5 linked regions of the Oryzias latipes genome follow. The protein of the gene in region 4 purifies or fractionates together with the protein of the main gene of each other region. This does not show direct contact. Links are inferred from orthologs where the notes say so. Each region holds a gene or a part of one and is shown on either strand. Other genes may lie near its edges. The genes, in order: stat3, atf2, atf3, CCAAT/enhancer-binding protein beta and sp1.

Evidence for each region.
Region 1: the proteins of CCAAT/enhancer-binding protein beta (region 4) and stat3 purify together in Homo sapiens (affinity purification with western blotting; 3 studies listed by BioGRID, with this or other methods). This does not show direct contact. The link is inferred for Oryzias latipes from reciprocal best matches to the Homo sapiens genes CEBPB and STAT3.
Region 2: the proteins of CCAAT/enhancer-binding protein beta (region 4) and atf2 purify together in Homo sapiens (affinity purification with western blotting; 3 studies listed by BioGRID and IntAct, with this or other methods). This does not show direct contact. The link is inferred for Oryzias latipes from reciprocal best matches to the Homo sapiens genes CEBPB and ATF2.
Region 3: the proteins of CCAAT/enhancer-binding protein beta (region 4) and atf3 purify together in Homo sapiens (affinity purification with western blotting; 3 studies listed by BioGRID and IntAct, with this or other methods). This does not show direct contact. The link is inferred for Oryzias latipes from reciprocal best matches to the Homo sapiens genes CEBPB and ATF3.
Region 5: the proteins of CCAAT/enhancer-binding protein beta (region 4) and sp1 purify together in Homo sapiens (affinity purification with western blotting; 4 studies listed by BioGRID, with this or other methods). This does not show direct contact. The link is inferred for Oryzias latipes from reciprocal best matches to the Homo sapiens genes CEBPB and SP1.

What each region holds. Positions count from the first base shown.
Region 1 is NC_019866.2:6,338,071-6,341,584, forward strand, and holds part of stat3 (signal transducer and activator of transcription 3), read right to left. Parts: coding exon 3,476-3,514; intron 3,314-3,475; coding exon 3,174-3,313; intron 2,239-3,173; coding exon 2,017-2,238; intron 1,787-2,016; coding exon 1,744-1,786; intron 1,302-1,743; coding exon of another isoform or gene 1,242-1,301; intron 417-1,241; coding exon 316-416; intron 1-315. UniProt on the Homo sapiens protein: Signal transducer and transcription activator that mediates cellular responses to interleukins, KITLG/SCF, LEP and other growth factors. Once activated, recruits coactivators, such as NCOA1 or MED1, to the promoter region of the target gene.
Region 2 is NC_019879.2:22,381,763-22,385,750, forward strand, and holds the start of atf2 (cyclic AMP-dependent transcription factor ATF-2), read right to left. Parts: upstream 2,802-3,988; 5' UTR 2,726-2,801; intron 2,101-2,725; 5' UTR 2,073-2,100; coding exon 2,025-2,072; intron 1,178-2,024; coding exon 1,081-1,177; intron 981-1,080; coding exon 862-980; intron 759-861; coding exon 633-758; intron 309-632; coding exon 130-308; intron 1-129. Other genes in the region: atp5mc3 (ATP synthase F(0) complex subunit C3, mitochondrial), read right to left, coding at 3,696-3,810, 3,901-3,988. UniProt on the Homo sapiens protein: Transcriptional activator which regulates the transcription of various genes, including those involved in anti-apoptosis, cell growth, and DNA damage response.
Region 3 is NC_019882.2:23,409,152-23,413,381, forward strand, and holds the start of atf3 (cyclic AMP-dependent transcription factor ATF-3), read right to left. Parts: upstream 2,806-4,230; 5' UTR 2,775-2,805; coding exon 2,681-2,774; intron 1,969-2,680; exon of another isoform or gene 1,968-1,968; coding exon of another isoform or gene 1,892-1,967; coding exon 1,716-1,891; intron 1,642-1,715; coding exon 1,534-1,641; intron 432-1,533; coding exon 153-431; 3' UTR 1-152.
Region 4 is NC_019865.2:21,871,274-21,874,620, forward strand, and holds CCAAT/enhancer-binding protein beta, read right to left. Parts: upstream 2,040-3,347; 5' UTR 1,844-2,039; coding exon 983-1,843; 3' UTR 511-982; downstream 1-510. UniProt on the Homo sapiens protein: Important transcription factor regulating the expression of genes involved in immune and inflammatory responses. Also plays a significant role in adipogenesis, as well as in the gluconeogenic pathway, liver regeneration, and hematopoiesis.
Region 5 is NC_019863.2:10,447,466-10,451,421, forward strand, and holds the start of sp1 (transcription factor Sp1), read right to left. Parts: upstream 2,802-3,956; 5' UTR 2,705-2,801; coding exon 2,698-2,704; intron 2,099-2,697; coding exon 2,025-2,098; intron 144-2,024; coding exon 1-143. UniProt on the Homo sapiens protein: Transcription factor that can activate or repress transcription in response to physiological and pathological stimuli.

The sequences.
Region 1 (3,514 bases), on a different chromosome or scaffold from region 4:
AAATAAATAAATAAATGAAATTACAAGACTTAAAGTCGTAATTTAAGAAAAAAAAAGTTCTTTGTAAAACTCCGCCATAGGTTTCAATACGTGGCGGGGGCAAAATTTTCGTTTAAACCCGTGGTAAGAAGGAAGAATTGCGAAACAATCTGGTCATGCAGTCCAGGACTGATGTGGGCCATAAAAAAGCCTGAGTCATCAGGGAGTTCCAGTTTTACAATGTGTGTGGGGTTTGAGGACAACACCTGAGCTGAAGTCAAACGGACAAACCATACACAACCATACACAACCACACACAGTCAGTGAGGGGCTTACCCAAATGTCCAGAGTGAGCTTCTGGCTCATTGTGCATCAGGGAATCAAGGGTGCGAGGTGACATCATAGGAAACAGGTCGCTGGTGTTTCCAGAGTTTGTGCTGTGAACAAAAAGAAAAGATAAAAAAGGAAAGCAGTTTAATATCCACTGTTTAAAGACACGTGCATCTGATGCAGTGTGTGTTAGTTCAGGCTCTTCAGGTAAAGCCGCCGGGATGAGATCCGTCACCTTTTTCCAGACAGTGATTAGGAGGCAATCACATAGGAAAAGGTTGTGATCATGTTTTATTCCTTTTCCATGTTAATACATTTGTCATTGGACTTAATATAACAGATAGGTATTTAGTGACTATGTTAGTTTGCAATGTGATGCCCATGGGGTAAAGTAAGGTGGTGAAAAGTAGACATTTTATTTAATTACACGTTCTAAATGAAACATGAGAAAATGTTAATATGCAATTAAACGGTCTTGCATTTACCAAAGGCAGAGACAAAAGGCGCATTGAATGGGCCTTAATGAGGGCTTCGCTTCAGTCAGTCACAACAAATGGTGAGCAAACGGGCCTTTATTGTTCTGCAAGCTTCTTTTTTTTTTTTTTTTTGGTTTTAGCTTCTTGTCAAACTAACAGGCATAACTTTTTATCTCTCAGAAATTGATGCTGAATTGTCTAACGGTCAACTTCAAAATCTTTCCCTTAACCAACCAAAAGCGGGTGGTCATGGATGGAGGATTGCGGTCTGAACCGAGCCAAAACGGATGAACGGAGAGGAGAGAAGCCAGGTGCTTTGGCTGTGAGTTTGGACACAACAGAAACAATGTGGAGGCGTTGGCTACGTTGACAGTGGTGAAAGCCGTCCACCAGACATACTAAGTGTCAAGATGCACACAATGCTCTCTACATGCCACCTCCCCCCCAGCGGCCTACCCTGGGAATCCGTTCCCAAGCAGCTCACTGTCCGGCAAGTCCATGAACACGGAGGGACACCTACGGAGACAGGTCAGGATCTCACTAGGCAAACCTGGAAACCCACCAGCACACTATCAAACCTGACCGACATGAACACGCCTGAATACTAGTAATACTTATTAACATTCAATACTTTTTATGACTGTTGTTTTTCCTCAGCTTAGGAATACGACTGAAAATCATTTAATTTCTTTTTTCATTTTACTTCTGAATAAAAGGCGTAATCATCTTGCAGCCCTCTATGTGAACACTGACCATCGAGATTCGATATTTTTAATTACCCAGACGGTGAAAAAGTTGATGCTATTAAGGAAACTCTTTGGGTTCACGAACGCAGCTCTAAAAACAGAAAATGTCCTCCCAGGACACTTCAGCAGCAGAAAGACTAAGACAGATGGAGTTAACCGAGCGGCATGCTTTTATTTTGACAGCGAGTCGGAGTGGATTGATGGAAACTTACGGGGTCACGCAGATGAACTTTGTCTTCAAGTATGGCTGGGTGACTGTTAAAGGAGAAAAGAAAATGAGCAAAAACAATTTAGACTCAGACAGTTAATACTGGAGCTGTCACCAGCGACACAGAATAACACACACTCTTCAAACCATCGGAATTCCTACGGATTCTGAAGCGGAGAATCCGTTGGAAGAAAATTAATTAAGTAAATGGTTGAAAGGTGACGGCAATTCGAAGAACTTCCACAACGTAGCTAAAAACAATCCAAAAAACACTCACTGCTTGCTGAATCTCCTCCTGCCTCGGGTTCATGAGCTGCTTCCGGTCTGCAGTACTTCCCGAAAGCTTCCTCTTTGGGGATGTCAGGGTAGAGGTAAACAAGAGGCGACACCAGGATATTGGTGGCATCCATAATCTTGTAACCCATGATGATGTCGGCGAAGGACATGCTGTTGAGTTGCTGCTTGGTGTACGGTTCCACAGACTGGATTTGGGTCTTTCCTATCAACACAAAAAACTGTTCTGTTAAACTCTGTGTCAAGTTGGTACCGACATACAGTATATGATAGTACTGGTTACGTATAAAAATGTGGTTTTGGTGTTTCTGACACGTCAATCAGTCCTACTCGATACAATTTTGCTTTACAATTCTAACCAATCTTTTTACCTTTCCAGCGATTGTGGGCGGGCTCATATCAGACTGGGTGAGGCCGTGAGGGAGGGCGCAGCTTCAGTCAAAATGCAAAGTGAGTAAAACTTTAGCTGCATCTCACAGTAAAAGATTGGAATTCTGATGGTGAAGGGTGACGTGTAATACGCTCTACCTCTACCTCAGTGTGTGTGAAAACAGAGATGCGGTTCATACTGTCAAGTAAAACGATATTGCCGTTAACCTTTCGTGGTTTTGCGGTTTCACGTCTTTTTTAGTGCCGTTTTGAGGGTTTGTTTAACATTTTGTCCTACATCCTGATTGGCTGCAGATCACGTCAATCAATCTCCTCCGTGTTGTGTCTCCTGTACAGAAATCTTTGCTCACAATTTTATAAAACTGGATTTTGTTTTAACTTTGAGAGATTAAAACAATAGAGAATAGTGTGAAAATGTTCCTGTTTGTCTGAGAAAAGGGTAGACAGTGTGCAGAGAGGGTTTTACAGCCTTAAAAGATCTATAATGTACTGCACCAATTTTATTTATCACGGCTTACTTGCAGAATCTAATTCCCACAATAAACAAGGAAACACTAAAGCACCTTAGGCAGGTTCAAGCGGTCTCCTTCACCATGTGGTTTTTGGAAACATATTTGCACGCATTTCATTTTTGAAGCATTGGCTCGAGCACCAGAACAGTTTTTCAAATGCCCGGCATCAGATAAAATTCAAACAGCGCCCATCCCTAATCATATATAAAAAAACGTAAAAATGTCTCCAATTACTCACCACTTATGTCTTTCTCTACCCATGTAAATGTAATGCCACCCTCTTTGCTGCTCTCGCTGAAGCGCAGCAGAAAGGTGCCGGGAGGTTTGGGGCTCAGAATGGCTCTCTCCCTCTCCTTACTGATAAAGCCCATGATGTATCTGATAACAAGCAACCAGAAGACAACATTCTAATTACGACATGCTCAGCTCTGAAATAGCAAACTTATTTTAAGGCCGTCGACCGTTGCACAGTTTCCGGATCACAACAGGAAGTAAACTGGCAGTAGCAGTCATAGCGTGGGAACCTCTGCAACCTCTCACCCTTCGTTCCACAGCGCAAGGATGTACTTCTTCACCAGG
Region 2 (3,988 bases), on a different chromosome or scaffold from region 4:
AGATTGATTAAAAAAATAAACATAAAATACAAGCACATGCCTCACAAAATGCACAAAACTACACAAAAATGATTAAAAAAAACTAAAAACTAAGATTTGTTTTAAAAATGGACGCATTCCGTTACTTACACTATGGGTCTATTAGTGGATGGAACCTGGGTAATAACAGAGCTAGATGTTGGCGATGGGAGAGCTGGCTGTATTACAACATTAGCGTCCGTGGTTGCTAGAAGTACATTGGGAACTTGGAGGGATGCAGGATGGACTATAGTGGATGTTGGCAGTGAGGCAGGCTGCAAAGTTAAGTCCTGAAAACATCATACAAGACCTTAGCTGCAGAAATGTTTAGTGAACACCAGCTTAGTTAGTTACAAGAACTTTTTGCAAATATTTTTTTGGTTGGTTTTAGGATTTCCAAATCAAAATTAAGAGCAGTGTTTGAATAAAAAAAAAAAAGAGAGTGGGGTTTGAAAATAAAAAACAAATAAATCGAAGAATTCAAGCAGGTGAAAGAAGAAGTACAATTTCTATAGTAAATGAATGATTACAGAAACAGGAGGATTCTTAATTATTCATGTTTAATAGCACTCCTAAAACCCATTAGAGAGCTAACTAAACAGAAAAAAATCTACCTTGTCATCGTTTGTGGTGGACTCAGGATGAGGAAGGGGGCTGTTCCGATGTGCATCTACAGCTGCGGGTTCCTCAGTTTTGTTGCGTATGACTGGTGTAGCAAGAGGTGACAAATCCAGAGGTAGCTTTGGGAAGGTTAAAAGAAAAAGAAAAAAAGCAGATATAAACTCTGGACTTCAGAGATCATCCTAAGAGAAGATTTGACAGAAGTTACAGAACAAACTCAACCTTCTTCAAGTCATCTTCAGCTGCTTTTTTGAAGTCATGGTCAAAAGGACTGGCAAGTTCGTTGAAAAGCCCGACTTCCTCGCAGTTTTTCAAAAAGCGAGTGGGTGTCGGCGTTTGATCTGTAATAGAGAAAAGAAAAGATAAAAGAAGAAAAAAATCACACTTAAGGAGGCAAAAACACACAAACATCTATAGACATAAAACTTAAGAAGGACTCACCAGCAATTATGATATTGTCGGTCCTCGCTGGGCCAAACTTTAGTGTCATCTCGTGTTTGTGTCTGTGGACAGCCAAGTGGTCTTCATTTGTAAATCTCTGAGCAAGGTAAAAAGGAAATAAATGAATAAAAAAACAACTTTATTCTGCATATCCTTTGAGAGACAACAATGACTCACAATGTTAAATATGTTAAAATACTAACAATTTCAAAAAGTAAACGGTGCATTGCTAAAATCCAAAGAAATCAAACCCTAAATAAACATAAACATAGGCTTAATGTGTGTTTTTATGTTTATTGTGACTGTGCGCGTACATTTACCACAATAATTACATATTTTTACCCTTTAGCCAACTTTACTTTGGCACTAGAAATTAAACAGTTGATGTGACTTCAAAAAAGAGATGCTTTTTATTATTTGACCCTTTTGTGAATCCTCAAATTGGATGCAGACTCAGGCTTTTATTAACTCCAGTGATTCTGTTTTTAAGTGGATTTATCTGTACCACAAATAATCACAAATCCTTCAAACAGTAACTTCAGCTTTTAAAATGTCTGATAAGAATGCACAAACTACGTTTTTTAGTTGAATTATTCGATATTATCAGCAAAGATAGCAAATGTATGTAAAATGTACACATTGAGTACCCAAATATTTGGTTACCATATTTGATGCATATATATATATATATATATATATATATATATATATATTAAAGTTAGTCTCTGGAGAAATACAACTACCGTATCTCAAAACATGTAATATTATAATACCTTCAACGTTTTTAAATAATCTAGAATGTAAAGATGTAAGCTCAACAACTCCACCATATAAATTTACAACACATTGGAATTGGTTTTTTTCCTTCTATTTTTCAAAAAATAAAAATAACTGAATCACTAACTAAAAAGAAATAAAAACTATGAAGAACTATGTCAGCTTACCTGTCCACATCCTGGAGCAGTACACTGGAAGGGTTTGTCATCACTCATATTAAGAAATTCTTGCTATATTTTTGTCCTACAATAAATGAATAAAAACAACATATTTCATCTCAATTAACTTAATTTCCATTTAAAACAGAAATAAATTCAACAGCCACAGAAAAGACAACCACGTAATCGTGGCTGATCAAAAGGAGGGTTAGAGGGTTAATTTTTAGATAATAGTAGAAATGACTCGAGACTCGAGTGGGACTGTTAAGGGCAAATCTAGTGAAAGGACAAATAAGATTTTGGACAAAGCCAGTGAGGAGGTGGGGTTGCTCTGTCTGTGCTTATTTATTAGCTCGGTGATGCAGTGCAGGGTCGTTCGGTGTGTGGTCGTTCGGATTGTGTATTTTTCAACACGAACAAAGAAATTATGCATGTTTTTTGTTGGAAAAAAAAGTTTCACGTTTAATTCCGACTAAAGTCATCACACAACAAAAGCTACATTATGATCCGATCCTCCGCTCCAGCCTGAGCTGAGATAACGCACAGCCGTCGCCATGTTAGAACCAACAAATCACTAAACAGATAACCTTTTGGTATTTAATTTGAGGGGGATTAATTTCACTTGGAAGAAAATAACACCGATTTCAGATAAAGGGTGCCCTTTTTTGCATTTGTAATAAAACTCGCTTTCAATTTGAGTTGTTACTTACCCCTTTAGCCACAAACGTTGTTTTCCCAAACCCCAAAGTATCGCGAGAAAACAATTTCTTCTTCCGTAAACGTCACACTAACCCAAACGCCGTAAACATACTAATGGACACTAATAAACCCATTTACCCATAAATTTACCCATTTACCCATAAATTCAATATTTTATAAATAATTGCCATCATTTCTACTGCATTACAACTTTATTTACAGTCTACGGAACCACCTCAAGTTAACATTCCTTTTTTACTCAAAGGCCAAATTTCTTTAAAACAATTCAATTTAGAGAAACATTATCGTGTACTCTATATTAAATTAAATCACAAGGAACTATTTTTGATTGAAGCAGTAAACAAACCACATGGGTAATTTATATTACAAAAAAAAAAAAACATTTGGTCAACTTTGTTGCCAAATATTACTAATTTACTGACTTCCAAATGACAATTACTTTTTAACTGAGAATTTTGTTCTGATGGACCGTTTTAGTGGCAACTCATTCATTTGACAAACCTCGAAACCCTGTTGGGGTCGGGAAATAAATTCAAAAACCCAAATTATAATTCAATCTAGATTTATTCAACGTGATTTACAAAAGCAAGTAATCACTTGTTGCCTCTTACAGTTCTACTTAACTGCAACTGAGTTAAGTGCTTATGACGGTGGACCCCATATAACTCTCAGAAAGCAAGTTGATTCACAAGGGGAGAAGATGTTCTGACATTTGTGAGAGCAAACTGCTTTCAGTTACCATGATATTCCAGACATAGACGTTGCTGCCACTGATAAATACTCAAATGCATGTATTAAATTCACGCACATTGTTATGTTTGTACATGTTTTGTTTAATTTTGACTGTGTCGGAAAGACTTGAAAAATTTACATTTCCATGACACCAACACTGAACAATTTTAGAAGCCACAATAAAATATGTAGTCACATCTGTAATGAAAGTGTTGGGAGGGCAGTGCTTTACATTGCAAACAGGATCAGAAAAGCAACCATCAAACAGAATAGTCCCATAGCTTCAGACAGGGCGAAACCCAGGATGGCATATGAGAACAGCTGCTGCTTCAAAGATGGGTTCCTGCAAACAAAAAGAAGTCAATAAATGTAAAGAAAACATTTGAATTGTACCCCAAAAAAACATGTACACAGTGACCAAATGGCAACAAACCTGGCATAGCCAATAATGAGACTACCGAACACTGTTCCAATTCCAGCACCAGATCCAGCGACTCCGACTGTAGCGGCTCCAGCACCAA
Region 3 (4,230 bases), on a different chromosome or scaffold from region 4:
TCCCCCTCCCTCACAACCCTCAGTGCATAGTCAGGTTTTTGCAGCTTTGTGTGAGCCAAGTGTGGCCCGCAGTCCTTTCTGGGTCAGGCCTGTTCAGGTCAGGCTAACACTCAGCTAGTCTCTGATGTTGGTAGGGGGCAGCCTCTGCTCAGTCATAGATCAGCGGGACAGCAAATGTGGTCAAGGCTTAGCGGGCCCCCCCCCAGCAAGCCCTCTGTGGTGGAGGTGAGGCTGTGAAGCTGGAAGTTGCTCTCCTTGATGTGCTGGAGGAAGAGGTTCCTCTCGTCCTCTGGGGTTTGTCCGTCCTGGGCCCGGACGATGCAGGTGGGTCGGTGCAGGTTCAGCATGTAGACCAGCTGCTGCTTCTGCTGCTTGAGCTCCTCGATCTGAGCCTTCAGGTCAGCGTTGATGCTTTCCAGCTTCTCTGACTCCTAACAGGAGCAGACGCAGAACAAACGGGGCTCAGTCTTTTGGAACATCAGGTGGAGGGATCAGAAAGCTGCTTTGGTTAAAAAAGTTCCAGGTCTGAAACCAAAAGAAGCTGCTGAAGAGAAACCAAGATCCGGGACACGCTTTTCATTTGAGGATAAATGTTTTTTGACAACTTTAATTCTTACCAAACTTTTATCTTCTTTTCCTCATGAAATTGTATTTCCATTTGTAAAATGCCTCAAATTCAGATCTTTTTTCTAGAAAGACTAATTCCACCTCAGAGAATCTGTTAAGTCTCTATACCATTGTCCAGGTGAATACTTAATTCTGATTGGTTGCAGTGTGTATATTTCAAAGTGATATCCCACACCTAAAAAAGAAGTTCCAGTCACACCCCCCAAATGTTCCTTATCACTGCAGTGGCCTAAACACAAGTCGGTATTCCGATTATCACCATTAAAACATAAACAAACATAGTTTGTCATGCCTTATTCCAGATTATTACAACAGTAAGACAGTAGAAAACATGAGTGATTTTATAGTTTCCTTTCACCTGTTTGGTTAATTTGATCTTTTTAGAGACTGCAGCAAAAGAGAACGAGAGAGAAGTGGATCTAGAAGGAAGAAATACGACAAGAGGAGGAACTGAACTATTTAGACTTTACAGTTAGTTTCTTTGAAACAAACTTTAACTTCCTCATCTGGACAAAAAGAAGCAGTAAGACGTGAACTTTCACACTGAACTGATGCTTTATTCAACCCATCAGCATATGAATCACTTTCTTTTGCCGCTGCAGTCTCTATGGCCATTACCATGACAACGTACTGCATATAACTTAGTCTGATTTTTGTGAAAACCTAAAAAAAAAAACAAGAATAAAGTACTAAATATTTCTTTGGGAAGTGACCATAGTATAAGCAGAATAATCTGCATTATCAGAAATGATGAAGGTTCACAGAGGCAACCTTCAGGCTTCCGTTTCAAGCACACAGAAGCTACATATCTGCTAAATGAGTAAACTGTGATGGTAGTAAGACACTTGGTCTCATGCATGTCCTCCAAAGAGCTCCTGGTTACAGCCTGGTGAAAACAGAGTTTACCTTCTGCAGACCTTCAGTCTTCTCCTTCTTCTTGCTGCGGCATTTTGCAGCAGCAATCTTATTCCTCTCTCGCCTCCTCTTCTTCCTGTCGTGCTCCTCTAGCGTCAGCTGAAACCCACACAGAGTTCTGAATAAAGAATCCACTCAGCAACAGACTGGCGTGGGGGGAGTACCTGCCTCACCTCTCTCTTGACCCCTGACTCGTGGGTGGGCGGGGCCTGGTCCGAGGCAGAGCTGGCGCTGTCAGAACTGGCGTCTGCACTGAGCCCGCAGGACAGTCGCTTGTTCTGGATGACCTGACGGAGCTCCTCCTTCACTATGGGGGTGAAGTTGGTGAAGTCTTCTAGAGTGAGTTCTCCTGGGGGGGACAGGCAGGGGACCAGGGCTGAGCAGCTGATGTCAGCCAATGACGGTCCCAGGTGCTGCAGCATCATTCTGGAGACACGGCAGACTTTCAGTCACAGTCAGGCTCAGCGTCCCCCCTCCCACCATTTGTCTTTCTGGTTTTGGACTTTCTTTAGCCCCTTCCTGAACACGCCCTCTGCTTTTTACAAGAAATACTTTGCTCTGGAACTTTTTTAGTTTTTTTTTAGCTAATGTTGCACTTATATGTGGCTTGGTGTTTTTTTATCTAGTATTTGTGTAGTATCAATGTTTTTCCACACAGGTTTCCAGTAGCATAAACTAACTGACTACATTCAGGCAGAAACGCCCACATGAACCCTAAAGATCTCTGACTGCTAACCAGAGACTTCCAGGACAGATTCTGCTGAGTAATAATGACATCATGAAGATAAAGAGTCAACACATTTGTTGTGTAACAGCAGGTGAAGGAGGTTCTGCTCCTTCAGAGGAACATCCGCGGCTACAACGGAAGAAGAACTTCTGATCATCACACCGGTTCGATTCCCTCCCTAAGGCGTTTTTGAGTGTTATTTACTGACTGAAGGTAAACTGGTAAGCAGAAAACGAAGGTTAAAGCGGAGGATTCAAATAGAAACACTTCCATGAACAGAAACTAAGTCTTTCAACGAGAAGCACCTACAAACAGTTTGCTTTCTGTTTAGAGCCACGGCCGGACCGGACCGGACCGGACCGGCGGAAAAGCGCCCCCCTTCCCCGCCTCCAGCACAAGACAGGAACGCACCTTTGAAAGTTCTGGTTCCGGCTCTGGTTCCGGCGTGGACTGCTCCGTTCGGTTCCGCAGTACTGAGTTGCGCTTCTCGTCTCTCCCGTTGCATCACCCACTTATAGGAACTCCAGGGGCGGGGCTTAGTGACGCAGTACCTAGGAATCCTACTAGACTGCGAGGGTAGGAGGGGTGGGGGTGGGGAGGGGGATGACATCATCTTATTTATAGACTCTGATCCAGTGATGATGCCACCCAAGGACCAAAACGGGGGTCCCCTTCTCCCCCCAAAGCACCTGAGATAGATAGATAGATAGATAGATAGATAGATAGATAGATAGATAGATAGATAGATAGATAGATAGATAGATAGATAGATAGATAGATAGATAGATAGATAGATAGATAGATAGATAGATAGATAGATAGATAGATAGATATAGATTCAGGTAAATACATAAAATTAAATGGCTTTTAACTTTTAAAACATTCTTTTTGATCACTTTCCTTTTTTTTCTCTTTAGAGATCTGTTTTCCTCCTGCACCCCCCCCCCCCGTTTGTAAATGGGTCACTACTGTTGTAAACTAAAATTTAAAAATGTAAACTTTTACAACTTTTTAAAACATAAATCTAAAACGTTGTTCCAGAATAAATCAACTTAAACTCTAAATAACTTTATTTTGCTCTACTCTCAAAATTAAACAAGATAGAAATAAAGTAAATATTAAAGAAAAAAATTCAAATTTCATTAAACATGTCATTTTATACAAAAATTAAGTTCAAATTGTAAATATCCCAAAAGATTTTATTCTCCATAAGATTATATCCTGCCCAAATTATACAAATTCAGCGTTTACAAATCATATCATTCTGTTTTCTTTACTCCTGTGTCATTTGATCAGAGCTGAACGTCTGGCATCGTTTTGTGTCACACAGTTGGTTTGTGTTTGCTGTGAGGTTCTGTGTTGTGGAGATTCTCAGGATGGACTGCAGGTGATCATCAGTGAGACGACAGCTGTCTGCTGTTTAGTTAGTCTTCATCACTGAGAAGAGCTTCTCTCACAGAAATGTGCATCCAAACATGCACAAAGGTGGAGCCATATGTAGACGGAGCTGGGGCATTTCTGCAGGAATGGAGAGAATAACCCTTGTGCTATCTTAGATTCCCCCCCCCCCCCCCCCTTCCATTGACGTGTTCTCCCTACCATGACAAAGGTGGATAAAGGTGGAAAGATTTCATGTAATCCATGGACACCAGTGAAGATAACATATCATTGAAGAAAAAAGGTTCACTGTCTAGTGCAGTGGTTCCCAAACTTTTTCTGCAGGGCCCCCCTTTCTGAAGATTAGAATATTTTCAAGCCCCCCCAGACTGACACAAACATACAAATCCTTTGTTTCTAAACTCCACTGGACTTTACTTAACATTGTAAGTCATACAAAATGGCAACTTCTTCCTGAACAAAACCAAAAAAACAAAAACAAATCACCTTTACAATTAATTAAAGTGACACTGTCACTAGTGACACTAGTGTGATTCCCTGGTAGTCGGAACACCCCCTCCGGT
Region 4 (3,347 bases):
GTATCATTTCAGCATAAATGGGTTTGATTTATTTTAGGACCCTTGGGAGAATGCGTCAATTATTTAAAATAAACAGAAACGAAAATGAACCTGTTTAAAAAGAGGAAAAAAAAGAGTGTGAGGAGTTAGGTTGTGTTTTGTGTAAAAGGTTATCTGCAAGAGATGTTTGTTTTAAGTGCAATTTGACAAAAACCAATGACTAAAAAGATTCCAAACTATATTTTTTAAAGCTTTTTAACTACAGAGAACTATATTTTCTACTTTATAATGAAATACGTATGATTAATTAATAACGTTTTGTGCAACAAAGGTTCAAATATTTAAAGGCCTGTAGGATTCTTTTCGTGATTTGTAGTTTATTTTACGCAAACCTGGATTATAAAAACAGCCGTTTTCCTCAACGCAATATGCTGTAACGGATTAAGTGTGAGTCTGAGTGTGAACGCCCATGTCTGTGTGCCTGTCTGCACCCTAAACCTGCGGAGGAAAGGACAGAAAAGAGCGTGCAAATTCCTTTAAACAAAGTATAAATCTATTTAATCCAATGTCAAGTACAATTAAAGCATTTCACCTTTTTAAATCTTAAATAATTAGACTTATTTCATTCATTGCCAATACTATTACAAAGAGTTGCATCATTTCACTGCAGCACAACTCTCCCCGTTGACAGCCATTGCTGCAGACACACACACACACACACACACACACAAAAATCTAGAAATTCAAGGGTATGAATGTATGTATGTAAAACCTGCACAGAAATACTGCATACACAAACATTACATGTGAGGAAAAAGCCACAGTGACATGTAAAGAGTGGTGAACGGTTGCGCAATCCATGCACCCACTTGTTCAGTCTTATTCAGTGTCCATTGTAAACTGGGGATGGCCGCCTTCACCTGTGTACCGTTTGGATCACCGTGCACTCTCCAGTCCACTTGAGGGAGCGGCACAGGGGGGTTCTCTCGTGGGAGGGGGGTACCTAACATTGTCCAGTTGCTGAGAGCAGGTTGCGCAGCGTGGCCAGCTCCCTAGACAGCTGCTCCACGCGCTTTTGTAAACGGTCGTTCTCCGCGGCCAGTTCCAGCACTTTGTGTTGAGTCTCCAAGTTGCGCATTTTGGCTTTGTCCCTGCTCTTCCTCACGGCGAGGTTGTTCCTCTCCCTCCTCAGCTTGTACTCTTCACTGTCCTTGTCCAATCGTTTTTTAGACTTCCCGCTGCTCCCCTTGCCGCCGTGAGACGGTGACCTGCCTTTACCTGAGGGCGCAGGTGTGCCGGGCGGGCTGGAGCAGGTGGAGGACGCAGTGGAGATGTTCCCCAGACTGCTGCTGGTGGACTGGTAATGAAGATAGGACCTCATGTCGAACCCGGACGAGCCGTTCTCCATCTTGGCGTCTTCCAGGTTGTCGTCTCTGTCGGCGGCTGCGGCGGCGGTTCTGTAGCGGCTCAGTTCGGGGCTCAGGACGCTGTCCGCGCGCGTCTCCTGCAGCTCCGAGTAGCCCAGCGAGTAGGGCTGCCGGGGGTCGCACTGGCTCGACTCCAGCTCGCCCAGCAAAGAGTAGTTCCTGTAGCTCTGGAGAGCTGAGACTCTCTTGATCTTGCTCTCCGCCAGAAAGTCAGAGTACGCGTCCCCCTGCGGCTGCGTCTGCGCCGCCAGCTGCGCGCAGTGGAAGGCTGGGTCCAGGTAAACGCTCAGGTCTATCGCTCTCTCCCGCTCCTCAATGCCCAGCTCCGTCATCGAGTCACCGAGCCGCCAGTACGAGCCGCCGACGATGGGACTGATGATACCGTCTCTGCCGTGGATAGCAAAGCTTCCCTCCTCGTACAAGCCGGCCACTTCCATGGATCTGCACTCCCGCCGGACTGCAGGAGCGGGCAGGGCTGAGGTGAGGCGCCCCGAGTTCTTCAAGTTCAGCTGAGTAACTGGAGAAAACGTGTCGGAATGCAGCGAGCTGAAAGCACCCGCGTCACTTCATGTGGCAACAACAAGAAGCAACTTTTTTTTTCTGTGGCGGATTGGGAGGAATTGACAGACCTTCCTGTCTCGAGAGGGTTTTATTCCACAGCGCGGGGGGCGGGGCCTAACAGGGCAGGTGTGACGAGCGGAGCCTGTCAGCGAACAACCTGTTCCACTTTGGAGAACGTTTCCCGCATTCATCTGTTTATGTCGGGACAAACGAAAACCTGAACTTGACTTGTTGTCTATTTAAAGTGAAGTCTTTCATTGTTTGTCAGTAAGCATCAATACAAGTTATTATAAATAATTACTTTGCTCCTTTCTGGACACATTTCCTTAACTCCTGCAGCAGAAAATCACATTCAGTTGTAATCAAAACATCTCTGAACACATTATTTCCAAAACAAAAATGAACAGTTGTGGAAGTGATGCACACATCCCCATCCATCACTGTGCTGGTTTGTGTCAGAAACATTTCACTGTCGTCAAAGACAGATGTGACTGTCTCGTGGGATCAGTGTTATCCCACAACATGACTTCAAGCATGACCCAATGACTCACAGCAAGAACAAAATAGAAGCCTCTCCTGGACAATCATGAGGCCCCAAAAATAAACTGACTCTGAATAAGATCAGATAAGAATTACACGTTTGCTTTAAACGTGCACGTAGATTGAGAAGAAATACCTACAATTTATTTATTGGTGAGAAACTGGTTTGCAAATTGGGATTTACTGCCACCGTGTGGCTAAGAGTATTTAGAAAATTACTTGTCAAGCACTTGTCAATTTGGTGCTTCGAGCATCTTTTGCATATTTTAAGACACGTGTGTGACATTTCTTGTGTGATTTGCTGAAGAAAACAGAGGTAGTCACTTTCCATTTGAAGTCACCATGACTTGCATGTTAGGAAGCGGTCGGTGCAGAATATCATGACAAGACTGTACTGGAGAGAAAAAAAAACTCCAAATGGTATCTAAAGGCTTTTAACATCAGGCCTGGCTGATGTTTGAATATAATCGCACATAAATCAAAGGGATTAAATTGATAATGTATACATTTTTTTGTTGTTTGAGTGAAAAACCTTTTTTTTTGGCTTAAGTTTAATTCTTGCTCCATTAAAACTGCTTTGAAACAGTTTGAAGTTTTCCCTTTGCTTCCAACTTTTCTTCGATGTTTGCATTTTACTTTCAGCTCCCTGTCAGGCAGCTCCATCAAACAGAATGACAGATGACATCTGTAGTGCCTCCATGGGAGTGCTCCCTTCTCTTCCTATAGCGTCACATACAGACAACGTTTTCATCTGAGATGTCATTCTGGATCAGCATTCAAATTTTTCCTGTGACATGTTACACAAAAACACGTGACTTTGATGCTGCACATTTCTGAGTA
Region 5 (3,956 bases), on a different chromosome or scaffold from region 4:
GCATTGGAGGTGAAAATTTGGTTTATCTTCAGCTGCTGCTGCTGAGTTTGATGCTGGTCTGCAGATGAATCGTTTTCCCCCGGTGGTTCAATTCTACTGCACGTGGCTGCCAGCAGAGCAAGGGGAGATGGCTGCTGAGAGTCCTAAAAAATAAAGAAAATGGCATCAGTACAGACAAAACGCCATATTTTAAATATTTATCATATGTTTGCTGATAAAATAAACTAAAGAAACAGTAATGGCAGTAAAATAAACCTATTTAGACAGAATAACTGTACACTGTACAGTGAAATAAAATATTTTAGTAGGTAGTCCTTAACCCTTTTCAGGCCACTGACTGTTTAATGTCAGACAAGGCTGAGGTAAAAGTCCACATTTTTTTAAGTTTTCAGTTTCCCTTAACTTTTGATTGTAAAGTTTATTTTCATTCTCTGTAAAATATCTGCAGAGGATTGAAATTTTATTTGTAAACTAGAATCATTCAAATGTGACAAATTTCCCCTAAACTCATAAATGTTAAAGTGGAAGCTAAAAAATTGGCACCAACTTCAGTCTTGTCCAACTTTTAAAGTGCAACAGATTAAAAAATAAAATAACATTACTTAAACACGTATTAAAAGATGAAAAAAAAGATTATTATCATGGTGTTTGGGAACTACTGTAGATAAATCCGTATTTTGAGTACAGACTACTGGTTTTTGTCTGTTAAATACAACTTTCTTTTTCTCTGAAGTCACTGGGTCTTTTTTTCTGCCAAAAAAAGACAAAAAAACATCTTTTAAATACATTTTTTGTTGTTGTTAACTTTGCTGTCTTGGGGGTTTCAACTTAGCGGTCTATGCTACTGGTTTAAGAAAGTAATAGATGGTTTGTCGACAAGTAACAGAGTGACTTGACATGCGTCAAAAACGAGTCGGATCAGTTGAGGAGAATTCTGTTTTTAAAGATAGGATAAGATATGCCTTTATTGTCATTGTCCATTTGGACAATGAAATTACAGCAGTCACGATTACAGTGCAAAAAACAAATCTAACAAAGTATAATGTAAAAATGTCAATATGCACAGAGTGTACCAAGAATGTGTGCAAATATGCAAAATAAGAAATGTGCAAAAATAAAAATGTATGCAATTATGTGCAGAGTGATATGTACAGATTTAAACATGTCAGATGTGCAAAACAGCATGGAGCTATGGAAGTGTTGACAATTTTACACGGAATAAATACAGTTTCTTTCAAAATCAGATTATAAATAAAACAAAAACAAAAATGTAGGTCATAGTTTCTTTCTCTATGTGCCGGTACCAACTATCCCACGGACTGGTACCGGTCTGCGTCCTGGGGTCAGGGGCCACTGATTTAAATGATTGCTATTAAAAAAGTGTGATATTTACAGCTCTTGTGTAATCTTGAAAAATTCACAATGGCAAACCAAAAAAAAAAGGTCAAAAATATTTCAGTAGGGATTTCAAATGATTGTATAATATGTTAAAAAAAATAATCTTGACAGGACTTTAGGTCTAACAAAAGAAAACGATGTAAACATATTTTATGCTAAACAAACACCAATGTAAATATGGATTATTGAATTAAATAGGTGGATTTGCTCTGTGTTCATGGCAGGATTTAGGGAGTGGGCTTCAGATGGAGGTGGGGGTTGAGGTGGGGTATGGGAGGGACCACAGTTGAGAGGAGTAGTGGCGGGCTCGGCTTCCCCCTCCTCCCAAGCCCACCCCTCTCCCTCCCACACTTTATGTTGCCCTATAAACCAGCGCACCACACTGGCCACCCCCTCAAAGGCATGCCAAATGGGCCGAACAAAACGCACTTGTAGTGCCGGGGGTTGACGGGAACACCCAGTCTGGGAGATTTTTACCTGCCCAGTCCCCACCCCGGTGACATGTGCTCTGGGGAGAAATAAACAACCGGTCCCGAATAACGCCTTCGAGCTAATTCAACAAGTAGCGAAAACAAACCAGGCCAAGACTGACTAAAATCAACAGTCCGAGTGAAGGATAAACCTACTTGTGAGTTAGTGTTCCGCTTCTGAGAGAATCCTCCGCCACTCTCCACTGCGGCCATTTCACCTTGTTGCTGATCTGCGGAAGAAGAGTTGCAAGATTCCCAACTTCAACAAACAGCAAAACACGAGTTTCAGACAATGCGACTCTTTAACACAAGTTTAAACCTCAGACGGGACAAAAATAAAACGTCTTATATATATAAAACTCTAAGTCTGTTTTGTCTTTTTGTAGCGGCTTTTCCAAGAAAAGCAAATGTATAAATGGCAAAGTACTCACGGGGCAAGCTAGCTCAATAGCTAAGCTAACATCAACTAATGGCAAGTGATGTTCTAAGAAATCGCTCTTGAATCTCTTTGAGACTTCAGTTAATCTCTAAAATGTAACGGACTACATGGGCTAAGAATACAGATTGGTCCTGAAAGTACACAGATTTTAGTGTCACTTACGAACAACTTTTTGCCGTTTCGCTAAATGTTGTTAGCCAAGTTCCAACAAGTAGCGTTAACGTCGTTAGGTTTGCTGGCCACTTTTTGACTGCATGTTTATGGCAACTCGATATATAATACTGTGCGTTTACCGCTGCTTATTTGTTTTAAAAAATGTTCTTACTACAATAAAAACTCTGTCAAGCTAAAGATACATAACATACCACTGAGTTTTAAAACTTCACTTACTGCTCATATTTGAAGACGGGAGGAGTTTCTGTGCTCTTTTTCTGCTTAACAACTTTTCACAACTTCACACAAACTTGATAGCCCCTTCCCTTTGAAGGAAAGCACAGAGGTGCGTTTAATTTAGGTACCTTTGTAGCCCGCCATCTTTGTTCTATGTAGTCATAGAAAGAGAACACATTTTTAAAAGTAGGTGCGTTTTAACTATATTAATATATTTGTTTTAAAAACTAAATACACATTGAAAATAGAGCCCCTTAAACCGAGATTTTCTTAAAAGTTAAACGAGTAAAGGTAATTTATAGTTGCATCCATTAACATGTAAAATATAAGACAATTTACTGTAGCTAGGTTTATTTTTCCTGCAAGAAAAAAAATGTTTAGAAAAGTTACTAAGTGAGACTATTTTAAATCAAAATTTTATTTAAAAAATGTATAAATTGATTATCTAGTGTTACTGTCATTCCATTAACGTAGAAAACAAGCGCACCCCCTAGAAAAGCGCCTTGTGAAAGATTACTTCAATCTACCAATCAAACCGTATGTCTCTGCCTCTTACCGTCAGCCAACCAATGGAATTTGAGAAAAGGTGGGTGATATAGGGCGGGTTCATCCACGTTAGGCTGCGCTCCTTAGTCTAATTGACATTGGTTATGTTTTCCGCGTTTCTAAAATGTTGACATATATACGCACGGATTTCTTTGTATAATTCCGAAGAAGGTCTTATGTTTAAACTTAGAAATCGTGCTTAGATTTGTGTCTTGAATTAAAACCTGGAGGTGGGGAAAAAGGAGGACTGTCGATTTGAGTCTTGCCTCCGTGGCCGCTGGCCACTCCTTTTTGTGGCGGATGGGTTGGTAAACACTAGGGAGGAGGCGGGAGAAGGCAGCCAGGGTGGAGAAAAAAAACCTCCACCGTCCTCCAGACACCGACTACAGATGGCTGGGAGTGGAAAGCGCCTCTCGTAGGGGAGGGCTTTCATCGCTTAGTACGAAAGAGGGCTGTCAGTGAAGCAGCACATGTGTCCATGTAAACAGGCCAGAAGGTGGAGTCCATCCATTCTTAACTTTAGGCTTGGACCCACCCCTCAGTGTCACCACTACAACCAAAAGCCCCTGCTGTAGTAAACACATTTTTAGTATTGGCAAAGAAACAGCAAGAACTGATATAGCAGTTATAACGTAGGACAGACCTGTTGATAAATTTTAATAAAAGTAAACTTTGTCATGTTTAATTCAGGGGCGAAAAGGGCTATTTTAAAG